2 linked regions of the Struthio camelus genome follow. The protein of the gene in region 1 interacts with the protein of each later gene in a biochemical or structural test. Links are inferred from orthologs where the notes say so. Each region holds a gene or a part of one and is shown on either strand. Other genes may lie near its edges. The genes, in order: perilipin-3-like and M6PR.

What was found.
Region 2: the proteins of perilipin-3-like (region 1) and M6PR form a complex in vitro, tested with the Homo sapiens proteins (2 studies listed by BioGRID). The link is inferred for Struthio camelus from reciprocal best matches to the Homo sapiens genes PLIN3 and M6PR.

What each region holds. Positions count from the first base shown.
Region 1 is NC_090967.1:4,503,454-4,515,445, reverse strand, and holds perilipin-3-like, read left to right. Parts: upstream 1-6,989; 5' UTR 6,990-7,079; intron 7,080-7,087; exon of another isoform or gene 7,088-7,215; intron 7,216-7,427; 5' UTR 7,428-7,434; coding exon 7,435-7,485; intron 7,486-7,819; coding exon 7,820-8,015; intron 8,016-8,180; coding exon 8,181-8,263; intron 8,264-8,344; coding exon 8,345-8,642; intron 8,643-8,849; coding exon 8,850-9,040; intron 9,041-9,132; coding exon 9,133-9,255; intron 9,256-9,335; coding exon 9,336-9,683; 3' UTR 9,684-10,236; downstream 10,237-11,992. Other genes in the region: perilipin-5-like, read left to right, coding at 7-66, 168-366, 1,184-1,266, 1,418-1,670, 2,237-3,207. UniProt on the Homo sapiens protein: Structural component of lipid droplets, which is required for the formation and maintenance of lipid storage droplets. Required for the transport of mannose 6-phosphate receptors (MPR) from endosomes to the trans-Golgi network.
Region 2 is NC_090942.1:89,013,642-89,025,797, reverse strand, and holds the start of M6PR (cation-dependent mannose-6-phosphate receptor), read left to right. Parts: upstream 1-7,579; 5' UTR 7,580-7,843; intron 7,844-9,381; 5' UTR 9,382-9,382; coding exon 9,383-9,555; intron 9,556-9,765; coding exon 9,766-9,938; intron 9,939-10,042; coding exon 10,043-10,152; intron 10,153-10,342; coding exon 10,343-10,473; intron 10,474-11,014; coding exon 11,015-11,141; intron 11,142-11,742; coding exon 11,743-11,865; 3' UTR 11,866-12,156. Other genes in the region: KLRG1 (killer cell lectin-like receptor subfamily G member 1), read right to left, coding at 3,733-3,850. UniProt on the Homo sapiens protein: Transport of phosphorylated lysosomal enzymes from the Golgi complex and the cell surface to lysosomes.

The sequences.
Region 1 (11,992 bases):
GTCACCATGTGCGCCGAAAACACCGCCAGGCAGGCCGCCCCGGCGGACCACGGGCGGGAGGAGAAGGTGAGCAGCGGGGAGGGCAGGGGACGGCCCGGCGCAGCGGGCCGGGGGCGGGTTGGGGGGGGGGGGACATGCCACCGCTCAGCCCCGTGCACCCCGGCTAGAGGAGCGCGGCCAGCCGGGTGGCCAGCCTGCCCTTGGTGAGCTCCGCCTGCGCCGCCGCCGCCGCGGCCTACGCCCGCGCCGAGCAGAGGCACCCGTACGTCGGGGCGCTGTGCGCCGCCGCCGCCAAAGGCGCCAGGACCCTGACGGCGGCCGCCGCCACCGGCGCCCGGCCCGTCCTCGCCAAGCTGGAGCCGCGGAGTGAGTGGGGCCAGGGGGGAGGTTGGGGACCGGGGGGGGGGTACCGGGGGCCGGGTGGGTTCGGGTAACCGGGTGCTGCGGGCCGGTTCCCACCGAGCGGGCAGGGTGGCCGGCTCTGCACGGGGTGGGGGGGCTCCGCTTGGGTGCCGTGGGTTACCCTTGAGAGCGGGTGCTGAGCCCAGCCCCGGGCTACCCCAGGGCACACGCGTGCTTCGCATGCCAGAGCCTCGAAACCAGAGCCCTCGGCGGGGACCCGCTCCCCGGAGCACGTGCCCCGTCCCGGCGCGGCCAGCTAAAGTCTCCCTGTGCCCTTGAGGACACTGGGACGGTGCCAAACCCGCCCGCGTGGCCCTTTCGCCCAGCTCGGTGACACCGCGGTGGCTCCGGGGGCCGTGCTGGGCAGGGGGCCCATCCCCGCAGCCCCTGGCCTCATCCCCGGGACGGCTGCCTGGGCTCGGCCCCAGAGCCCTGGATGTGGGGGTGCTGGGGTGGGGGGGTCACTACCAGTCCCCGAAGCCCCACGGAGGGACCGTGAGCGTGGCGGTGCCCGGAGGGACGGCGATCTCGGGGAAAGGCTCGACTCTGGGCTTATCCCAGCGGCGAAGGTGCGACGGAGACCAACATCCTCCTCCTGCTCTGTCCCCGCCGGTCCAGTCCTACCGGTTTATTCCCATTTCCTGGAACTGGGGACGGTTCGGAGGGGAGGGCTGGAGGGGAAAGGGGCAGCCGGGCTGCTGCGCGTCCCCCGGCTCGCTGCCGTCCCAGCAGCAGCGCGCCGGCGGCCGGCCGAGGCTGCATCTCTCTCTCGCCCTGCCAGTCGCAACGGCCAACAGATTCGCCTGCAAGGGGCTGGATAAACTGGAGGAGAAACTGCCCATCCTGCAGCAGCCCTCGGAAAAGGTAAATCCCCACCGGCAGAGCGGGGGGAGAGGGTGTCCCAGCCCCGGGCGAGCTACCGGGAAAAGCCGTCCTCGAGCCGCAGCGCCGCGTGGGGACGGGATGCTGGGGCCGGCCGCCGTGCTACCCTCAGCCCGTGCCGTCCCCGCGCCAGGTGGTGGCGGAGACCAGGATGCTGGTGTCGTCGGCCGTGACGGGCGCCAGGGAAGCGGCGAGCGGCGTGGTGGGCACGGCCCGGGGCGCCGTGCAGGGCGGCGTGGAGAGGACCCGCGCGGCGCTGAGCGCCGGCGTCGGCACCGTCGTGGGCTCGCCAGTGGGCAGGATGGTGGTGACGGGAGTGGAGACGGTGCTGGGCAAGTCGGAGGAGCTGCTGGATCGCTACCTGCCCATGACGGACGAGGAGCTGGGTGAGTGCCTTTCCCGGCCGCTTCTCCCTCCTCCGGAGGTGCCAAAGCCGCCGGGACCCCCTTCCCTTCCGGTTTCGTGCTGGGGGGCGCAGGGCCTGGCGCGGTGGCCCCGGGCAGGAGAGGGGCCGGTCCCCGCTCAGCTGCTCCGAGGGGAACCTGAAGCCGGGGAACGCGGAGCAGCAGCGGTTTGAACTCTCACCTGGAAACCCAAGAGCAAATATAGCCTTGATGCCGCCATCCCACCCCGCCGCCGGGTATTTATAGCACGGGCACGGGGCTAGCAGGGGGGCACGGCTGGTTCCGGCTCGGAGCAGAGGTGACCGCGGGGGCCGTCCGGCTGCTTTCCAGCGGCGACGCCTCCGCACGGCCGGCCGGGTGCGAACCGGCGGGTGCAAACCGGGGCCGTGCTGCCGGAGCGAGGGAGGACGGCGTGCCGCCGGCTCCCGAGCCGGGGAGCGGTGGGGTGGGGGGGCCGCTTTCCTGCGGGATGCTCCTTAGCCGGCTCCCAGGTACCCAGCGTGGCAGAGCCCGGGCTCGCCGCCCTGATGCTTCTGCCCCCCCCGCAGCCAAGCTGACCGCGGCCGTGCAGGGCTTCGAGACGGCCCCGGCGGAGCGGCGGCAGAGCTACGCGGCGCGCCTCGGCTCGCTCTCGGCCAAGCTGCAGCACCGAGCCCTGCAGCACTCGCTGGGCGGGCTGCGGAGCGCCCGCCGCTCGCTGGCCCGGCTCCAGCACATCCGCCAGCTGGTAAGACGGCGGCCGGCCCCACGGCGTGCCCCGCTCACCCCGGGGGTGCTCCCATTCCCCCCCTTTCTCCCCCCCCCATCCTTTCCAGGTCGCACGCGTGAAGCAGGGCACGGAGGGGAGGCTGCGGGGTGCCCGCCGGTACCTGCGCCGCTTGTGGCTGCAGCCGGACCCGAGCGAGGCCGCGGCGGACGCGCGGGTAGCGCCGGCAGGCAGCCGGCGACGGCGAAGCGTCTCGGCCGCCGGCGTTTCCCGGCTCGCTGCCTCGCAGGTGGAGGCGGGCGCGCTGCTGTGGCTCGCGCGCTGGCTGCGGGCGGTCTGCGCCCGGGCCACGGCGGGCCGCGTGCGGGAGGCGCAGGCCACCGTCTCCCGCACCCGCTCCTTCCACGACCTGTCGGACCTGGTGGTGGCGCAGAGCCGCCGGCGGATGACGCAGGCCCAGGTGACCATCGACGAGCTGCTCGACTACGTGGCGCAGCACGCGCCCCTGCCCTGGCTCGTGGGTCCCTTCGCCCCCGTCCTCGTCGAGTACCCCGAGGACAGCCTCGTGGACATGGCCAAGTGGGACGGCTGCCTGGCCATCGGTGGCAGCCACCGGGCGCCCGGCTCGCCGCGTCTCTGCAGCGAGCTCTGAGCGACGGCGGCCGGCCAGGGGCTCGCCCGCTCCCCGGGTGCGGGGACGAGCTGCCGAAACGCCCGCTTGGCACGGCAAAACTAGTCCCCGCAGCGCGATGGACTTTGGGAGCCGGTGCGGGCTCCCTCCGCGCCTGGCGCCTCGCTCGGGGACGGAGGTGACGGTGGGCTGAGAACGAAGCGCGGGTCCAGCCCTGCTCCTCGTCCGCTTTGGGGTCTCGGTCCCCCCCGCGGTGTCCCCGAGCCTGGGGAGCATCAGGATTTCTAGTCTCACCAGCTCGAAAGCACTTTAAAGAAATAAAGGAACCCTTTAAGCCTTAAAACGGCTCCTGTCCTGTGATGCCGAGCGCTGCGGAGGCGGGCTGGGTGCGGGACTGGCTGGGCCAGGTTTGGGACCCCCGAAAGCCTTGGTCTGTGGCAGCTGTGGTGCTCGGGGAGGGCCAAGGGTCGCCCCGGGGAGGCTTTCGCTCCCCGGAGGAGGAGGAGAAGCAGCAGGGCGAGGTGAGAGTTGGGTGCCCGGGGCCCGCCGGACTGTGAACCGGGGCCGTGTGGCACCGAACTTCGCTCCGGGTTATCGTCACCGCCGCTTCCCGCGCTGTCACGCGGCCCCCGCGGCTCTGCCCCGCTCGGCCTCAGCATCGCCAGCCCCAGCAGGCCGTCGTCTGGCCTGCGTGTCCCCGTGCTGGGGGGCCCTGGTGTCCCCCCCCGTGCAGTGGGGGCTGGCGGGACCCCATCTTCGCAGGCAGTGGGCTTGACCCCTTCCCGTTTAACCCTCAGCCTCCCACACTGGGGGCTCAGTGAGCTGGGGAGGGGGGATCCGGGGGTGCCGTCCAGAAGGGTGATTGGTCTGGGCAGGGTGGGTGCTGTCCACCCCGGGGGGATCCAGTCTGGCGGGGTCCGGAGGGGGATCCAGCCCCCGGGGGTCGGTGCCACGCAGCCCGGGGGGGGGTCCGGAGGGGGATCCAGTCCCGGGGGTCAGCACCGCGCAGCCCGGTGGGGGGTCTGGAGGGGGATCCTGCCCCGGGGGTCAGCACCGCGCAGCCCGGTGGGGGGTCCGGAGGGGGATCCAGTCCCAGGGGTCAGCGCCATCCAGCCCGCGGGGGTCCGGAGGGGGATCCAGCCCCGGGGGTTGGCGCCGCGCAGCCCGGCGGGGGGTCCGGAGGGGGATCCAGCCCCGGGGGTCGGCACCGTCCAGCCCACGGGGGGTCCGGAGGGGGATCCAGCCCCGGGGGTCAGCGCCGCGCAGCCCGGTGGGGGGTCTGGAGGGGGATCCAGCCCCAGGGGTCAGCGCCGCGCAGCCCACGGGGGGTCCGGAGGGGGATCCAGCCCCGGGGGTCGGCACCGTCCAGCCCGCGGGGGTCCGGAGGGGGATCCAGTCCCGGGGGTCGGCACCGTCCAGCCCGGGGGGGTCCGGAGGGGGATCCAGCCCCGGGGGTCGGCGCCGCGCAGCCCGGCGGGGGGTCCGGAGGGGGATCCAGCCCCGGGGGTCGGCGCCGCGCAGCCCGGCGGGGGGTCCGGAGGGGGATCCAGCCCCGGGGGTCGGCACCGTCCAGCCCGCGGGGGTCCGGAGGGGGATCCAGCCCCGGGGGTCGGCACCGTCCAGCCCACGGGGGGTCCGGAGGGGGATCCAGTCCCGGGGGTCGGCGCCGCGCAGCCCGGCGGGGGGTCCGGAGGGGGATCCAGCCCCGGGGGTCGGCGCCGTCCAGCCCGCGGGGGTCCGGAGGGGGATCCAGCCCCGGGGGTCGGCACCGTCCAGCCCGCGGGGGGTCCGGAGGGGGATCCAGCCCCGGGGGTCGGCACCGTCCAGCCCGCGGGGGGTCCGGAGGGGGATCCAGTCCTGGGGGTCGGCGCCGCGCAGCCCGGGGGGGTCTGGAGGGGGATCCTGCCCCGGGGGTCGGCGCCGCGCAGCCCACGGGGGGTCCGGAGGGGGATCCAGCCCCGGGGGTCGGCACCGTCCAGCCCGCGGGGGTCCGGAGGGGGATCCAGCCCCGGGGGTCGGCACCGTCCAGCCCGCGGGGGGTCCGGAGGGGGATCCAGTCCCGGGGGTCTGCGCCGCGCAGCCCACGGGGGGTCCGGAGGGGGATCCAGCCCCGGGGGTCGGCACCGTCCAGCCCGCGGGGGTCCGGAGGGGGATCCAGCCCCGGGGGTCGGCACCGTCCAGCCCGCGGGGGGTCCGGAGGGGGATCCAGCCCCGGGGGTCGGCACCGTCCAGCCCGGGGGGGTCTGGAGGGGGATCCAGCCCCGGGGGTCGGCGCCGCGCAGCCCACGGGGGGTCCGGAGGGGGATCCAGCCCCGGGGGTCGGCGCCGCGCAGCCCGGCGGGGGGTCCGGAGGGGGATCCAGCCCCGGGGGTCGGCACCGTCCAGCCCACGGGGGGTCCGGAGGGGGATCCAGTCCCGGGGGTCGGCGCCGCGCAGCCCGGCGGGGGGTCCGGAGGGGGATCCAGTCCCGGGGGTTGGCACCGTCCAGCCCGCGGGGGTCCGGAGGGGGATCCAGCCCCCGGGGGTCGGCACCGTCCAGCCCGCGGGGGTCCGGAGGGGGATCCAGCCCCCGGGGGTCGGCACCGTCCAGCCCGCGGGGGGTCCGGAGGGGGATCCAGTCCCGGGGGTCGGCGCCGCGCAGCCCGGGGGGGTCTGGAGGGGGATCCAGTCCCGGGGGTCGGCGCCGCGCAGCCCACGGGGGGTCCGGAGGGGGATCCAGCCCCGGGGGTCGGCACCGTCCAGCCCGCGGGGGTCCGGAGGGGGATCCAGCCCCGGGGGTCGGCACCGTCCAGCCCGCGGGGGGTCCGGAGGGGGATCCAGCCCCGGGGGTCGGCGCCGCGCAGCCCGGCGGGGGGTCCGGAGGGGGATCCAGCCCCGGGGGTCGGCGCCGCCCTGCCCGACGGGGGGTCCGGAGGGGGATCCAGTCCCGGGGGTCGGCGCCGCGCAGCCCGGCGGGGGTCTGGAGGGGGATCCAGCCCCGGGGGTCGGCGCCGCGCAGCCCACGGGGGGTCCGGAGGGGGATCCAGCCCCGGGGGTCGGCGCCGCGCAGCCCGGCGGGGGGTCCGGAGGGGGATCCTGCCCCGGGGGTCGGCGCCGCCCTGCCCGGGGGGGGGTCCGGAGGGGGATCCAGCCCCCGGGGGTCAGCGCCGCGCAGCCCGCGGGGGGTCCGGAGGGGGATCCTGCCCCGGGGGTCGGCACCGAGCAGCCCACGGGGGGTCCGGAGGGGGATCCAGCCCCGGGGGTTGGCGCCGCGCAGCCCACGGGGGGTCCGGAGGGGGATCCAGCCCCGGGGGTCGGCACCGTCCAGCCCGCGGGGGTCCGGAGGGGGATCCAGCCCCGGGGGTCGGCACCGCGCAGCCCGGGGGGGTCTGGAGGGGGATCCAGCCCCGGGGGTCGGCGCCGCGCAGCCCGGCGGGGGGTCCGGAGGGGGATCCAGCCCCGGGGGTCGGCGCCGTCCAGCCCGGCGGGGGGTCCGGAGGGGGATCCAGCCCCGGGGGTCGGCGCCGTCCAGCCCGGCGGGGGGTCCGGAGGGGGATCCAGCCCCGGGGGTCGGCACCGTCCAGCCCGCGGGGGTCCGGAGGGGGATCCAGTCCCGGGGGTCGGCACCGTCCAGCCCGGGGGGGTCCGGAGGGGGATCCAGCCCCGGGGGTCGGCGCCGCGCAGCCCGCGGGGGGTCCGGAGGGGGATCCAGCCCCGGGGGTCGGCGCCGCCCTGCCCGGCGGGGGGTCCGGAGGGGGATCCAGCCCCGGGGGTCGGCGCCGCCCTGCCCGACGGGGGGTCCGGAGGGGGATCCAGTCCCGGGGGTCGGCGCCGCGCAGCCCGCGGGGGGTCCGGAGGGGGATCCAGCTCCGGGGGTCGGCGCCGTCCAGCCCGGCGGGGGGTCCGGAGGGGGATCCAGCCCCGGGAGTCGGCGCCGGGGGGAGCCGGGGCGGGGCCGGGGGTCGCTGCGCCCCGGGCCGGCCCCGGCAGGGCGGGCCGCGCTCCCCCGCGGCGGGGCCGGGCTCCGCGGCTATAAAGGCCCGGGGGGAGCGGCCGAGCCTGCAGCGCCGAGGAGGTGAGTGCGGCCGGGCCGGGCCTTGCAGCGCTGCCAGCCGGGAGGGCCCGGGGGTCCCGGTCCCGGCCCCGGTCCCGGTCCCGGGGGCGCCGCGCTCGGGGGCGGATTTTGGGCAGCGGCCGCCGCGCCGTGGCGGGTTGGGGGCGGACCGGGATCGCTGTTTTTCCCCTGTCCCCGGGGGAGGGGGGGGGGTCCAGGGGGGTTTGGAGGACCCGGGAGGAGCTGGGAGCACCCTGCCCGGGGGGTGCCCCGTCCTGAGGGTGGGAGATGTGGGGGAACTGGGATCCCCCCTGTCCGGGGGTGACCGGGTGATCCGGTTGCTGAGCCCCGCTCTCCGTTTCCTCCCAGCCCCGCCATGGCCACCAGCGACCCCAGCACGGCGCACCCCAAGGCTGAGGAGCAGCAGGTCGGTAGGGTTGGGGTGGGATGGGGGGGGTCTGCGTGGCCCCTGCCTGGGGACAGGGCTCAGGTTACTGCCCTGGGTCACTCTGTCCCTGGGTGGGCTCTGCCGGAGACACCGTGCTGCCAGGGTTGGTGTGACCATGTCCTGGTCCAGGACAGGCTGGGGGGACTCAGGTCTCCTCGGTGGGGAGGGTGGTGGGATAGGGGACCCCAGTGATTGTGGTGGGGGGGGGATGCCCCTAGCCCTGCTTTCTCTGGGGGTGGGGGGGGGTCTGCTTGGCATGTGGGTTCGGGGCTTTGTCAGACTCTGCCCTCACCGGTGCCCTCCCCACACCCAGAGCATCGGGACCCGGGTGGCCAGCCTGCCCCTGGTGAGCTCTGCCTACGACATGGTGTCCACGGCCTACGCCTCCACCAAGGAGAGCCACCCCTACGTCAAGTCGGTGTGCGACGTCGCCGAGAAGGGCGTGAAGACCCTGACGGCGGCGGCCGTCAGCGGGGCCCAGCCCATCCTCACCAAGCTGGAGCCGCAGAGTGAGTGGGGTCGGGAGCAGCTGCGGTGCCCTGGAGGGTCTCCAGCCCCGTCGCCCTGCCCGCTCGGGGCTCGCCGCCTGAGCAGCGAGTGCTGGGGTGCCCAGAAAACTGGCACTAGCAGGAAACTTTGGCAGGTAGTTAAGAGAGTGCTTTCCTTGTCTCTAGTTTCCACGGCCAACGAATACGCCTGCAAGGGGCTGGATAAACTGGAGGAGAAGCTGCCCATCCTGCAGCAGCCCACGGAAAAGGTAACGCTGTGCTTCAGTCCCGGCGAGCAGGCTCATGTCTGCCCTGTAGTTGCCTAACGGAGGGTATTCGCTTCTCTCTAGCTCATCTCGGACACAAAGCAGCTGGTGACTTCCACTGTGACGGGGGCCAAGGATGTTCTCACCAGCACCATGGCTGGGGCCAAGGATGCGGTGACCAGCCGGGTAACGGGTGTGATGGATATGACCAAAGGGGCCGTGCAGGGCAGCATGGAGCTGACCAAGTCTGCGGTGACCAGCGGCGTCAACACGGTCATGGGCTCGACTGTGGGCCAGATGGTGGTGAGCGGGGTGGGCTCTGTGCTGGAGAAGTCGGAGGAGCTGGTGGATCACTACCTGCCCATGACGGACGAGGAGCTGGGTAAGGAGCTGGCAGCAACTCCCTGGAGACATGGGGGAGGATCAGGAGCCCCTTGGCCCAGTGGGTAGAGCCTGGAAGGGGTTGGTGGGCTCTGTGTGGGCACCCTGGGGTGAGCAGGGCCATGTGCAAGTGCCCAAACCAGGAGATGCCCTGCATGGGGTTGGTGGTCTTTCAGGACCCCTCACAGCCTTGGCTTGTCTCTTCCAGCCAAGCTGGCCACAGCAGTGGAAGGCTTTGAAACGGACCAGCAGAAGCAGCAGCAGAGCTACTTTGTGCACCTGGGCTCGCTCTCCACCAAGCTGCGGCACCGTGCCCTCCAGCACTCGCTGGGCAAGCTGCAGAGCGCCCGCCAGAGCAGCCAGGACGTGCTGGCCCAGCTCCAGCGCACCCTGGACCTGGTAGGACCTGGCCCCCCTGGCTCCATCAGCCAGGGGCTGTTGTCGGGGCCTGGCAACAGGCCACCCATGCCAGCCTGTCCCTTCCCTTCCAGGTGGAGCACCTCAAGCAGGGCATGGACCAGAAGCTGCAGGGAGGCCAGGAGAAGCTGCAGCAGATGTGGCTGGAGTGGAGCAAGAAGCAGCCAGGAGGTGGCAAGGACCTGGTGCAACCGGAGGTAGGTGGAGGTGGATGGTGGAGTCTCCAGGGCCCCCTCAGGCTGCCCAGGTGGCTCATCCTCCCCTTGTCCCCTTGCAGCAGGTGGAGTCAGGCACCCTGGCTGTGCTGCATGGCTTGACGCAGCAGCTCCAGAGCACGTGCCAGCCCCTGGTGTCCAGCCTGCAGGGCCTCCCAGCTGGCATCCAGGACAAGGCGGGCCAGGTCCGGCAGAACGTCGAGGAGCTCCGGGCCGCCCTCGCCAACGTCGCCTCCTTCCAGGATGTGACGGGTAGCGTGCTGGCCCAGGCCCGGAGTCGTGCAGCCAAGGCCCGCGAGCTCATGGATGAGCTGGTGGAGCACGTGGCCCACAACACCACCCTGTCCTGGCTCGTGGGGCCCTTCGCCCCCTCGGGCCAGCGCCTGGTGGATATGGAGATATCCAAGTAGCAGCTGCTGCCTCCGGGCCGGGATTATATCTGCCCTGACCCAGGCCTAGCTAGGAGCACCTCAACTAACACTCCAGCCTAGCCCAACTAACCATCTTAGCTCTGTAATCCTCTGCTCTGGGGGCGTCTGTACTGGCTGCAGGAGCCTCCCCGGGCAGGGGCCACTGTCTAGTCTGTCCCAAGTGCAGCTTGGTCCCCTGTACCCTGTCCTTGGGCTAGGGCTGTACTAGCAAAGTGCCTTGGTGTCTTCAAGTGCCTATGGGACCCTTGGGTGACTTTCCCTAGTCCCCCTCTGTTCGGCCTGAGCTGCCCCCCGGCTCCATCATCCCTCTCTCCCTCAGTGCCTAGAGCCCTCGGTGCCTTCAAGCCCCCAGTTTTGCCCCCTGCGTCTGGGTGCTGGTTTGACCTCGGGTGCCCAGGCTGGTTGTGAGACCTGGTGCTCCCGGCTGGGGCCAGGGTTTGAGCCCAGCCCTGGGAGCGGGAGCCCGTGCGGACTCTGCACCCTGAGGACTGCTCGCAAAGCAATAAAGTCTGGTTGGTTTTTTTGCACCGGATCTGAGGCCTCATGTGTGAGCAGGTTGGGATGGTGGGAACTGTGGCCCAGGCCCCGTGGGGCTGAGCACCCGGCCTTGGTGTCCCCCCCAGCTTCTGGGGCTAGAGGAGCTGTTGGAAGGGGGCATGATGTCATAGCCCTGCTGTGACCTCAGAAGGAGGGTGCTGTGCTAATGGAGTCAGCAGAGGGGCTGGTCCTGGTGCTGAGCCCTCACCTGGGCTGCTGGCTTTGCCACCTGCCCCTGAGCAGCCCCCATGGCTGAGGGTGAGCATGGGGTGGTCCCCATGCCCCTGGGGCACAGCTTGGACCCCAGGGGGGCCCCTCGGGGTGCCTCTGGCCCAGGGGGTCTGTGCTGGGCCAGGGGAGCGGGGGGCAGCCCTGGTTCCCTGCATCTCAGGGCTGTCACCCTGCTCTGCCTCCCCAGAGCTGGATGTCACCCAGCCTGGTGGTGACAATGGCCCCGAAGCACCGTCGGCCAGCCTGGGGCCAGCCCTGCCCGAGAGCTGGGAGCAGCAGGTTGGCGTCGGGGGCCGAGCGCCTGGGCTGGGGGGGGACCGTCCGCGGCCCTGCTCAGCTCTGCTGCTGCTCAGTTTGCAGTGAACAGGGTGGTCAGCGCGCCCGGCGTCCCCCCCACCTCCGGCCCGTCCCGCAGCCAGCCCCCGCGCGCCCCCTCGCAGCCGGCCCCCGAGGCCAGCGCAGACCCCGGCCGCCCAGCGAGCCGGGTTTGGCGTGAGTAGGGCTGTGGAGCGCGGCGGGGGAGATGCCAGCCCTGTGCCCCCCGTGGGGGACTCGCAGCCCCCCACCCCTGCTCAGCATCCCTGTCCCCCCCCTGCAGCCGCAGCAGCCCAGGACCCCGCGGAAGAGGCCACCCTGCAGCCACGCCAGCAGGTGCCCGATCCCCGGGGGTTGCACTTGGGGAGGGGGGACAAACTCCCCCAAGTGCTGGTTTTTTTTGGGGGGGGGGAGATGAGCATCCAGCAGGAGCCCGGAGGGAGCCCCTAGGTGCACCCCTGCCTCGCCGCAGGCAGGGCACGGTGCCTGGCAGCCCCACTATGCGCCTAGGCTGCGGGAAGGCCCACCGAGCCCATGGCCACCCTGCTCCAGCAGCCGGGCGCCCCGCAGGATGCCCTCAGCCTCCCCGCCGTGCTGGGCACCGCGGCCGGGCGGCTCTTCCTGCGCAGCATGGACCGGGTGCTGGAGAAGTCCGAGGAGTGGTTCAACTGCTACCTGCCCCTGGGCGAGCAGCAGGCGGGTAAGAGCCCCTGGGATGCTGCTGGGGGGTCCCTGTGTCCCTCTCTGCATTGAGATGCTGCTCTGGGTTGGGGGGGTCCCCATGGACCATACCAGGATGTTGCTCAGGGTCAGGGGTCCCCGTATCCCATATCGGGATGTTGCTTGCGGGGGTTGAGGTCCCCATGTCCCATGCTGTACTGGGCTGCTGCTTGGGGGCTGGGGAGGTCCCCATGTCCTGTCCCACACTAGGTTGCTGCTTGGGATCACCATGCCCCATACCAGGATGCTGCTCCAGCTCAGGGGTCCCAATGTCCTGTCCTGGGATGCTGCTCAGTGTTGGGGGGGGGGGGGTGGTCCCCATGCCCCATACCAGGATGCTGCTCAGGGAGCAGGTCCCCATGTCCCATCCCCTGCTGGCCTGCCTCTCCCCATTGTCCCCCCCCCCCCAACGGTGTCCCCACAGCCCGGCTCCTCTCTGCACATCTCTCTCTTCCATCTCTCTCCCAGCGAAAGCGGCTGCGGAG
Region 2 (12,156 bases), on another chromosome or scaffold:
AATGAAAAAGTTTGTTAAAGAGAAATTAAAACGGATAGCTAAAAGAATAAAATTTTTGTAAGCAGTAGTGGAGACTATTTAAGGATCCCATTGTGGAGGCTGAAAACATATGCACATCATATATCAAGAATATGGTGGAAACATAAAAAAAAAAAAAAAACCATGGTGCTAAAATCAAAGGGTCTGCACTTAAGACAAGAATGCATCCTTTAAGATTAGGAAGCTTGTCCAAATGAGGAACATAGAACGGATCATAAACTCCAGCAGATCTGTGTTAAACTATAGAAAGGCAAAGAGATTATGGTGGGGAAGTATCACTCAACATTTAGCCTGCTGTTATGCTTTTTTCTTCAGGATTTAGCTATTAGTCACCTGCAGGGAAATATTACCAACCATGATGGACCTTGATTAGACTGCAACGAGAGTGTTTTGTTTCCTACTTGTACTAAATTATTTTGATTTTTAGAGAAGTTTTTAGGCTCACTAGTTTTAATAGCTTTTCCTGTTTTACAGCAATATATTTTACAGCTGCGGTTTTGGCTAAAAGGAGTTCCCATTGTAACCAGGGAAACAGTGTAAGAGAGTTTAGTTTTAAGCACCATTCTTCTGGTAGAACAATGTTTCGTAAGACAAAGGTTTTGTAGTATTTCTTGAAGCCAGTCAGTCTGGATTTGCAGGATCTTCTAGCTGCCCCACTTCTAGCTAAAAAATATCAACATTTATTTATTTTTAAATCATTATTAAAGAATAAAAACGTTTCAGTTACAAAAACAGAAGGAATCCTCTACTTCATACATAGAAGGAGACATCAGGAGAACTGAAGATCTTGAACTCAGTAGCTATTCTCTCTGCTTGTTCTCTATTCATCTTGTAAGGCACCTTTGTATCTATGGTAACTTGGTTTTTGCCATCAAATTAATCCTCAAGTGAATGGAGTCAGACTGAGGTTAAGTGGTAGTGTGGAGCTGCTTCTCTGCAGATTAAAACTGAAAACTGAGGAAAAGGGGATAAATATCTGTTGAAACATAATTCTTTTTTCTGAGATCACATGTCTGAGCAACTGAGCACTCACACTTCTGTTTTCCTTCCTCTCTTGCATCTCAAAGAGGATGTCTCCTGCACCCTCCAGATCACTGTTACTAATTTTACGGAAAACGACTTCCGGGACAAGGTTACTGGAACAACAGTCAGCGAAACAGTTAATCTTTAAATGTCAGCACAGGTATCTGAGCTGGCACCTACCAGCAAAGAATAGAGCAGTTCATCCTCTGTTGTCTCAAACCAAATGCAGAAAAAAGGGAACTAACTTGAACAAGTGAATAGGCATCAAACCACAATTCCAGTGCATCTTCACAACCAGAACAGCAGGAGAGTTCCCTTTTTTTTTAATGAAAAAATATGCACTTAGATAATTTTTGAAGGAAAAAAAACAGTATGAAACTGAAGAGAGCAAGTCATATTGAAGCTTTCAAGATGAATTTGAGCCTTGCTTGAATGGCAGTGCTCAACCCAGGGAAGTGGAATAAAACATTTGATAAAATAGCATTTGTCCCTGCAGCATTTGTCCGTGCAGTTCCCCTTTTTAAAATAGACTCAAGAATCTGTGCTTGACCCTCAAGTCACTGGAGTATCATGTTAAGCTCCTTCCGGGAAAGGGAGGGAGAAGTAGCCAAGATGAGTCTGAAATAGAGGGGGAAAGTCTGAGCAGAACATCTAGAAATATTTTCATACAGTTGTCTGGGATACTGTGGAAAAATCTCCCCAAGGTAAGAGAGAGGTGGTCTGATTTGATATTTAGTGTCAAAATCCAATGTTATAATTTTCCTATATAAAAAATACAAAGTTAGGTCTGTTAGAGCTCTGGAAAGCTAACTGTGATAAACTGCATTCATCCATAACACAATAGAGTATTTTTAGGGTTGAGAGTCCAGATTCAGTTCAGAAACTGAAAATTGTCATCATTTAATAATTCAAGTCTTCAAGGACAATCAGAAGAATGCCATTGCACTGTCCCAGATAGATACCCTCAGCTCTTTTCTACGTCAGTATGGGAGCAGCATGACTACACAGGGCAAGGGAGGAGGATCTGAGGGACAAGACCTGTCCCTAGCTATGGCACAGGCCAGGTTACTTGCTGTTACATGCTGCACTGGTGAACACTCTCAAGTGACTACTTGAGTGGTATGTTGGTAGCGTGGAATATTTCAGGCTCTCTGGCAGCCAGAGAGAACACAGCTGGTGCAACTATTCATGTTAGTGGAGTCCATGTGAGCCAGAACCAGTTGTTTTGACCCTGTTATACTGGGTCACAAGTGTGATTCAGTAGTAAGGGTGTGCATTTGAAAGCAGAGATGATATACGTGGAAATGCATCTCTCAAGAGAGGCTGCGGGGGGAGGCAGCACGCAGAGAGAGTTGAAAGTCAAAGTCTTGCTAAAAAAAGGTACTTAAGCTGTGCTCAGAGCGACAGTTCTTGGCAGGCAGAAGGGAGCTGGAAAATAATTAAATGATATGCACAGAAATGTGTGTTCAAAGACTAGCTTCCTCTTTTCAGGCCCTCTGGTTTTATCTCAAAAGGAACAGTTTGCTTTGGCAATTTGGAGAAGAGGAACATTAACAAGAAAACTGCAAACATCTCAACAGGGGATCCTGGAATACCCACCTCCCATTGGATGGGATGAGCACAAGCGGTGAGGAATGAAGGGATGTGTCTGCATTTTCTGACACATCTGAAAACATGTCTAAAAGCAAGATCGTCTTCCAAGTAAGTTCACTGTGGCTAGCAGATAAGAACTTTGGGAGTTCTGTGCCAGCATTGCTTCTATAGCTCAGTAAGCAATGGGGCAGCACTAACAACTGCAGATATGTACAGTTACTCTGAACAGGACGCAGAAATCTCCTGTCCCAGAGTGAGAGCCCTGGTTGCTATAACAGCTCTAAAAAAAGTTATGAACAGCCAGTAGTGTTGCAGCCAACACAAAGCCCTTCACCTAAAGCATATGCGCATTTAGAGGAAAAGCAATCAGCTCATGGGCAGAAGACATTTATAATGAAAGGTCACCACTGCAAAATCTCACTATTCAAAGGCACAAATAAGAGGCCAGAGAAATTGTTCAGTATGACACTTGCAGGGTTTAAATAGGGGGAATGAAATGAAAACTAGGAAAGAGAAAATTTAAGGCAAGTACTAAAAAATTGTTCCTGATAGTAAGCTGTCCTGTAGAACTGTCTCAGAGGAAGGCTGAAAGTTTGCTCACTGGAAGTATATAAAATTGAGCAAAGAAAGCACAGAAAAAAGGCATCTCAGAACAAACCTGCAGAGCCCCCATAGGAGAGAGAATGGATGATCGCATAAGTCCCTTCTGTCTCTGATCTCTGATTAGCATACGCCTTTATCTGTAGCTCCATCTCACCCATCTTTCAAAGAACTATTACTGACAAGCAGACAACTTTAAAAAGTATAAATCTCTTTTGGCAAAAGGAGTGCCTGAATTGAGTGCCCAATAGGAGACATTGAAAGGAGTCTGATGGAGAGAGGGAAGGGAAAAGTGCTGGGTCTTTGGCCCGTTGGCTTTTGTCACAGGAGAACACTCAGACAATTTTTAAATCAAAGCTACAGCACCCTGAGCTGGTTATTCAAAATCTGTGGCCACTTCAGAGTGTATTTGCTAGATCTTGTGGAAATACCATGAAATAAAATCCTTTGTTCACCTACCTCATCTAGCTTCCTTACCTGTCCTTTCCCATCTTGCTTTGGCCTGCAGTGGAGGAGTCTGAGAGAACTTGAGAGATGTATAGATTATTTCCTCACTTGTTCCTGCTGCAGAAGTTTCTGACCTGCTTTCCTCCATGCCAAAACAAAGAGTGCGTATAACAAGATGTTTCGATCAGGCTGTTGAGCGACGGGGTTCAACGTCTGTGAAACAGGAAACCTGAGGCTGCATTCAGAAGACAAGAAATGTGAAGTTGCAACCTCTGTCTCCAGCTGTGCAAAATGAGCAACTTCACACCAGAATGGAGAGCACTGGAGGCGCAACAACTTCCATTTCCTAATCTGCTGAGGGGTGATATAAAGCAGTAGCTAGGGGAAGAGGTGATTAATCTCAACGTTCCTGGGTTTTCTAACTGTTGTCAACACAAGAGGCTTTGATTACATTGTGGTAGTAACTGCGTAAACATGGGCAGCTCTGAAGAGCTCCCTCTCAGGATAAGGTATTAAGCAGGTGGATAGGGACAGTACAAGGTAAATAGCACCAGTGGGATAAGCAATGGCTACACCAGACTAGGAAGTCCTACTGTTGTCAAAAGCTTTAGAGTGAAGTAGAGGTGCACATCATGGTTTTGAGAAGGAAGCCTGTGAGCTTTGGACGCTTTTACTGGGAACTCTTTCTACACCCAACACCAAGTATGAAGGTGCTTGGGACACAGGCAGACACCGAGAGTTAGCATCCCTCAAGACCTTCCGAGTCAGTATCTCAGCAGCATCAGAGATAACAGGCAGACACCGAGAGTTAGCATCCCTCAAGACCTTCCGAGTCAGTATCTCAGCAGCATCAGAGATAACAGGGTATTTTTCTGCTGTAGTGGCAAAGATTGATCACTGGAGGAATGGTGGGGAGTACTGATGCTTCTAGCACACGGAGAAACCCCTTAACTGCATGGCTGCCTGATTTTCCTTTTGGGTTTGGATTCTGATCCCCTCCAGTTCCTGCTCAATTGGAAGATGTTTGATAGGTTTGGGGGATACACCTTCCTCACTCGTACAGTTCACTTAGTGAATTGTCTGGGCATTTTCACCAAAGGACTTTGTCATGTTTTTCAGTTCCAGAACAGGAATGTTTTCTTTCTGTCCTCGTGGCACACTGTAAATTTGAGGAGTGGTTGTGGGGGAGGGTATACAGCTTGATATAGAGTGCTGTGGACAATTTGCAACATGTGCATGTCCAGGAAGATAGGGAGTGGCTATTCCTGCAAACTCTTTCATCACACGCTTGCCTCTAAGGGTGGCACATTGCATCTATGAGATTCCTTCCAATCTTGTGTTTCTATGTAGGGCCTTTAGATGGGAAGACAGGGGGTCTGTACCTGAGGGGAAAGGGAAGTTAGACGAGAACAAAGAAACACAAGAGGAGGGAAGCCTCCTTCGAGTGCTCTGAATGGATATTAGGGGAATCTAAAGAGAGTTGTCAAGCCCTCAGAGGAAGAACTTGCCATAGTCATGATGAAAGCTTAGCTGGGAATGTAATTTGTGTGGCTGGAAAGAAGCTGACAAGATTTAGAAGCTGCTTAAACGCCCAGACCAAGGGAAAAAGGCTGCAATCAAAGCTGAACCACTGGCTGGCTGCAGGGCCTGCATGTTAAGGAGGATGGTGTTGTTGTTTGTGAACAAGCAGAGAAGTGAAGGCTGGTGTGGAAGAATTAAGAGCTCTGTTTTGATGGGTTTTACCTTATTCTCTCAAGTATCAGTGATAAGTTGAATTCTTAGTTTGAATAGGGAATAGTGAAGTGATCCCCCCATTGGAGGGTATTCAGGCAACACACAGTTAATATCTAATTGTGAATATAAATAAATCTGACTTCTGTTACTAAGATGTCTGTGCTATACTCCCAGTGGAATCAGCAAAAGGACACAAATCACAGCAGGACTAAAATGATCAGTTTGCTAGGAGCCAACAATGTTCCTTCCCACTACTATCAAGAAGCATAGCTTAGGAAAGTCTCTCAAACTCCTCACAAACAAGTGGCTTCTCTAGCATGCTTACAGACTCACCAAACCCAGGATTATTTTCCTATTAAGAGGTGAAGCAAGCCTGAGAGTTCTCACAAAGAAATTCTGTCATTTGTCCCCATCCCTTCTAATAACACAGCCCTGGAAACTAGACTCTTTTATCATAGCAGTGCGAGGATGACTCAAAAAGAGGTGTCTTTTAGATGGGCCAATCTCAGATCATTTATAGCCTTATAAATCATATTCACGACATTCAAGTCCATCAAGTTTGTGCATGATCAGCTGGGACCTGGATCTCATCTGTGGTGGAAAAACTTGCAACAGCTGTTGGAGACACCTTTAATCAAAAATATAATAAAATAGCATGCCAGGCAGAAACAAAATCAGAAGAAGCAAGGCCACAAAATGATCTTATGAATGACAGTATCCCTTGCCAGTTAAACAAGAAATCATTTTGGAAGTACATAACTGGGATGTCATAATTCAAGGAAAGTGATGGTCTATTACCATCAGTAGAGGGGGTGGGGGGGAAAGGTAAGCTATGGCTAGATGATACTGTGTAGTGTTTTTTCTTTATGCTTATCTGCTTCTAGTTGATCTGAACCTGTACTGAGGACAAGGGTAAGATTTCAGCTTTAAAGAGGTAAAGTTAGAAAGTATTAAATGAGATGTTTTCATCTTGATACCTGGTGTGCTTCAGCCTGCAGGACTGGCTTTGACTCTGAGCTCTATAGTGACTCTTAGAGTGCCCGTGGAGGGGGAGCAAAGAATACTAAAGGCAATATAGTACTTGCTTTTAAAAAGACACAGGAAAAAAAGATGAATCCCAGAAAAGTACAGGAGCAAGCAAGGAGCAAACATCTGGAATAAAAAGGTAACAATGGAGATGAATTTGCCAGGAATGAGTTATGTTAAACCAATCTAATCTTAGCTAATCTGTTTCTCTTCTGCTTCAGAGTAACTGTGATCTTGTAGGCAGAGAAGCAGCAGAAAATCTTACGGATTTTGATTTTACCAAGGTTTTTAATGCTGTCTCGCATCCTGTTCTCACTAACATGCTCTACAATAAACTACAATGAAGGTGCAAAACCGTCTAGAAAACCGTACCTCAGAGAGCGGCTGTTAACAGTTCGCTGTCAACAGTGGAGAGACGTACTGAGTGAGATGTGACCAATACCAATTAGTATCTCTATTAAGGATGTGAATGATGGGGGGAAAAGTACAATTACTAAACTGATGACAAGCGACACCAACTTGGGAGGGCTGCAAGCACACAGGAGGGCACATGTTGACCAGGTGAGCCAACGGGAAAATAAAAGCGACACCATTCACGTCAGACCTGCGCACGGCTCCGGGTGCAGATAACACACCCACTGAGACAGGGGCGCGGCGCCCCAACCGCCGCCCGGCGTCCCAACGGCCTCCACGTGCCGTGCGCAGCCACACTACAGCCCCCAACAGGCACCGTGACGGCGCCACGGAGAGAGACGCAGCAAGAACCTCCCCGCTATTGGGCGAGAGGCTCCCGCCTATAGCCGCGCTTCTCAGTGACTATTGGGTGAGAGGGGCTAGTGGGCGGGCACTGTAGGTCCTTGCTGACGGTCCTCATGGCTCATTGGAGAAGATTAAATTGCAAGTGGGGGAGGTCTGCACGCCTCTTTCACCTCCCGTTGGACGGGGATAGGGGCGAAGGCGGGCTCCAGCGGGGCCACTTTATTGGTTGGAGGGGAGCTCTAGAACCCGCCTCTTTCCATCCCCACTCCTCATTCGGCGAAGACTCGCCAGTGGGCGTGGAAATCTCGGCGGCTCCCGAGTTCTTATTGGGGGAAAGCGTTAAGTTCCCTTTTACCCTTCCTGCTTCCGGTCTGGGGGGGTGGGCGAGGGGAGCCGGCCGGCCGGCTGGCCGGGAAAGCGGAAGGCGGTGGAGGCTCATCTCCGTCCCTTTCCCGCGCCAGCGGTCCCCCGGGAGGCCCCCGCCGCCGGGTGCGCCCGTAGCATGGGCTGCTCATGAGCTTTGACTGACTGCTCTGAGGGGGGGGGGGGGTCACGTCTGCCTGCCGGGCGGGCGGACGGGGCGAGGCGAGGCCGCGCTTCGGGGGGGCCGTCGCGGCACCAGGTGGGTCGCGCGGGGCGGGCCCACCCCTCCCCGAGCACTGAGCGCGGCCCGCGGCGGTTCGTGAGACGGTTGGCGCCGGCCGCGGCCGGCGGGGCGGGGAGCCGCAGCGGGGACGGTGCTCCGGGACGCGCCTTCCGCGCCCTCCCGCGAGCCTCGGCGGCCGCAGGGAAATGAGAGGCGCGGGGACTAGGAGGGGGTGTGGAAATCGCTTCGGGCTCCTTGGGCCGCCATGGGGTGAGACCATTCCCTGCCCCGAGCCCCTCTGCATGGCGCTGCGCCACAAGCAGACGGCTCTGTTTCAGCAGCGGGCAATGGTCTGTGTAAAGGTAGTCGCACTGAAATCTGCTCGCCTGAGTGATCCCAGGCGAGGGCCCGACAATAGTATTGTGTTATCGCTTTGTTCCTCGGCAAGTACCTGAATTAAATGTTTGCAAGCAGGTTGTCCAGAGAAGTCTTCTCTGGTACTAAGAGAAGACAGCTTCTCCTTGCTGTCTTGTGAGAGGCAGATCATGAGTTCCTGAGTCACAGACTTCCCCAATTAAGTTTATCTTACCTCTTTATATTTACATCTGTGGTGATTAAAATGATGGCTTAATAGTTGTAACTTCTCATGATGGACTCTGTTGGGGTGAGAGGTAATACTTTCAGCAAAACAGGCTGTCTGCCTATCCATGGTCATATGCTTATTAAATTGTTAACCTGTTAGCTCCCATCAGCATCTGGAACTCTGCTGAAGTCTGTGATGGCAGAAGCAGAGGGTAGTCTGTTGTGCAACTGCAGCTGGGGGGGGGGGGAGCATGAATACTGAATGGTTCATGTGTGATTATAGCATAAGCCTGAAAGCCAAAGCTTCCAGGTTTCATTCGTGTTCTTGCTACTGCCCCTTCTGTTTATCTTAGGTAGGTGGTCTCATTTTCTTTCTTCCCCCATGTAGATGGTAGAAAACTGTTCTTGGAAGCTGCAGCTTAGTACTACTAGATGCTTTCAGATTCTCAGCTAAAGTAGTTAAAGAAGGATATGTAATAATCATTTGGTTATTAGGATTAAGGAGCTTGAACAGACAGAGCCTGACTAATAATAGTTTCTCTACCTACAAGCTCTTTACACAAGACCTGCCGAGACAGTTGATTAGAGAGCTAGTAAATCATTTTATGCTAACTGGCTTCTCAGTGGGATGCAATAATAAACAATGGCTTATGCCTGGAACTTATTCTGGCATCCAGTCTAGAGCTTACTGGACCCTGCTTTGGCTGAATCAATGCTCATTAATGAGCTCAGTGGCAAAACTTTGTGGTCCCAAGACAAAACTTGGAGAAGAAGCCTAAAGACCTGCTGTATTAGTGAATTGTCTTTGACCATGTCAAACTCTTGAGGGTTAGTGTCTCTTGGGAACTTTGAGATGTTTCTAGGTTTTGACTTATCCTTTTTGCGGTCCGGAATGAGTAGGTGGCCAATCGCCACCTTTTTGACTTTTGAGTTAGTTTGCTGGTGATTAAATGATTAATCCCTTGTGTTCTGTGTGGTTGGCATGTATCCAGGATGTCATCACCTCAGCATACCTCTGGTCTGCTGGTAGTTCTTATGGCCCTTGTTGTCAGTGTGTGGGCTGAAGAGGTGAAAGAGAAGAGCTGTGATGTGATTGGTGATGAGAGCAGCGAATCGCAAATGGAAAAAGCCCTGCTGAAGAAACTAGAACCTCTGAGCCAAATGAGGTACAGTGCAAGCATATATCAACTCACTGTAGGTCTTGGGGCTGTACATCTCCCTTAGGTCAGGGAGACTGAAAATTTTGAGGCCAGACTGTAGAGTGGACTCCCCGTGACATGAGCTGTGGCTGGCTCTCAGGGTCTTGAATGACTGCTTTCAGCCCTATTCTTTGTAATTGTATAGGCTATTTGTTCTCTGCCCTCTCTTTGCTGCAGGTTTAACAAGACTGTGGAGCTAGGCACAACAGAAAATTACACCTATCACTTCAGGGTGTGCAGGGAGGTCGACAGCTCCTTGCATGATTTTGCTGGCCTAGTACAAATTGATAGAAAGACTGGAAAGACTACAGTGGTAGGAAGAATCAATGAAACCCAGGTCTTCAATGGAAGTAAGGTTCCAGTCGATAACTTGGCTTACTCAATGTCTGCCTTTTGCCTTCTGGTCTGGATCTATAGCCACCCCCCCCCTTTTTTTTTCCCCCCCCTTTGGTAGGTGACTGGATCATGCTAATTTATAAAGGGGGTGACTCATATGGTAGACACTGCAGTGGCGAGAAGAGAAGAGCTGTGATAATGATTTCTTGCAAGCAGGGGATTACAGCGGTAAGTGACACATGAGGTGGGAGAGGTTATGAAACAGTTGGTTAACACCAGAAAGTTGTGGAGGCAGTAAGGTTTTCTTCTGTCCTCCAATATCCATTGCATAGCTGCACCAACAATGATAGAACTGCCTTTTTGTAAAGTTCGGCATGCCTCAGCATATTTTCACATGACTTGACTTTTCCCAAATCAGAGTTCATTCAACATTATTTCGGAAGAGCGAGAAAAGGAGCAGGAGTGTTTCTACCTCTTTGAGATGGACAGCAGTGTGGCCTGCCCAGCTGAGGATTCCCACCTGAGCGTTGGCTCCATTCTGCTAATCATGTGAGTAATTGGAAGAACTGTTTGTTCCTAAGCCAAAATCTGCAATGCCATTTAGAAACAGCAAATGCTTTACTAGACCAGATAATTGTAGTACAGCTGTCTGCAGCCACTGTTAAATGCTGCTGTGTCTCTGAGCCTTTGGACAAAAGTCGTTGCTTAAAGCATGATGGTGTAGAGGTGCTCTGCCCCCTATAGACATCCTCCTTCCTAGTTTACAGACAAGCATACTGAAACATGAAAGGTATGACCTCCTAAAGTTGTACCACAGCTCTTTGCCAGAGCTGGGAATTCAGGCTAGGAGTCTTGACTCTTCGTTTTTTGTGTTTGTGCTTAGAGGCACTACTTCCTGTGATGCTGCTGAAAGATTTATACTTGCAGATCGATATTTTTGGGTACCTTTCCTGGCCTGGTCTCTGTTTATCGCTCTTTTCTTAAATTGGTACTGCAGTAAGTAACCGAACACTATTTAAGGCAGGTAGCTGGCTAGGGGGAGGTTGTCTGTAGAATTTTCTCAGCTCTGACTTTAAATTCTGTCTTCCAGTTTTGCTTCACTAATTGCATTCTACATCATCGGTGGGTTCCTCTACCAGCGCCTAGTGGTAGGAGCTAAGGGCATGGAGCAGTTTCCTCACTTTGCCTTCTGGCAGGATCTGGGCAATTTGGTGGCGGTGAGTGAGAAATCTTTGTATATTCCCAGCCTGGACCATGTGTTAGTATATGAGAGAAAAGGCAGTTGGGACTTGCCTTGTCTTCATGGACTACGTCTGGGAAATCAACCACAGAGTACCCTGAGGCAGAAGACAGCATGTATCTTATCTTGTAGAGTTCTTGCTTGTTGAATGTTAGAGTCTGGTTCCCCCCTGTGATGTTGATATCCTGTGATTACTACATGGCTAGAGCACATCTCATTAGTGGCTAACCATTCTCAGGTAGGAATGGTAAGCTGAGGACTGAAGTGTTCATGTCTGGTTCCCTGAAACCCTTCCTTGCTCACTTTAGTCTGTTGTTTATCATTCACTCTTGTCTCAGTATGATGTTGCTGCATACTGTTAATCAGTACCACAGTCTACGCTAGAGCTGACCAGCCTTCAAGACTGTGTAGCATCTATGTACACATGCTCCCCCTACCAAGACAAGTTTTTCGGATCTGTCCCAGATAGCTTGAGGATAGGCATAATCCCTTGACAAAAGAGAAGTCACAGAAGCTGCTTTGCTCTGGTGTTAATTGCATATAGTCTGATTCCAGTGTTGTAAAACCTTTGTTTGTAGGATGGCTGTGACTTTGTGTGCCGATCTAAGCCTCGAAATGCACCAGCTGCATACCGTGGTGTAGGTGATGACCAGCTAGGTGAAGAGTCAGAAGAACGGGATGACCACTTGCTGCCAATGTGATAGGCTTTCAACGCTTTTTTTTTTTTTTTCTCTCACCATCTTCCTGGTGCTTGTTTAGCCAGGCACCTCCCAGACAGTTCTCCTCTCACTTTTGATTTTCTTTAAATTACTTGCTTTCGCTGTTTCTGGTGTGTCATGTTTGTGGCATCATGAAAGCCTCTGGATATGAGCACCACTGGTCCCTGAAGGCATGTCTGAGGAATATAATGCTGTTTTAGGCTTTCAAGGAATGCAGCAGAGCTGAGGGGAAAGTGTGTTGAGAGTGGAATAGGAGGCAGCAAAAATGCATAT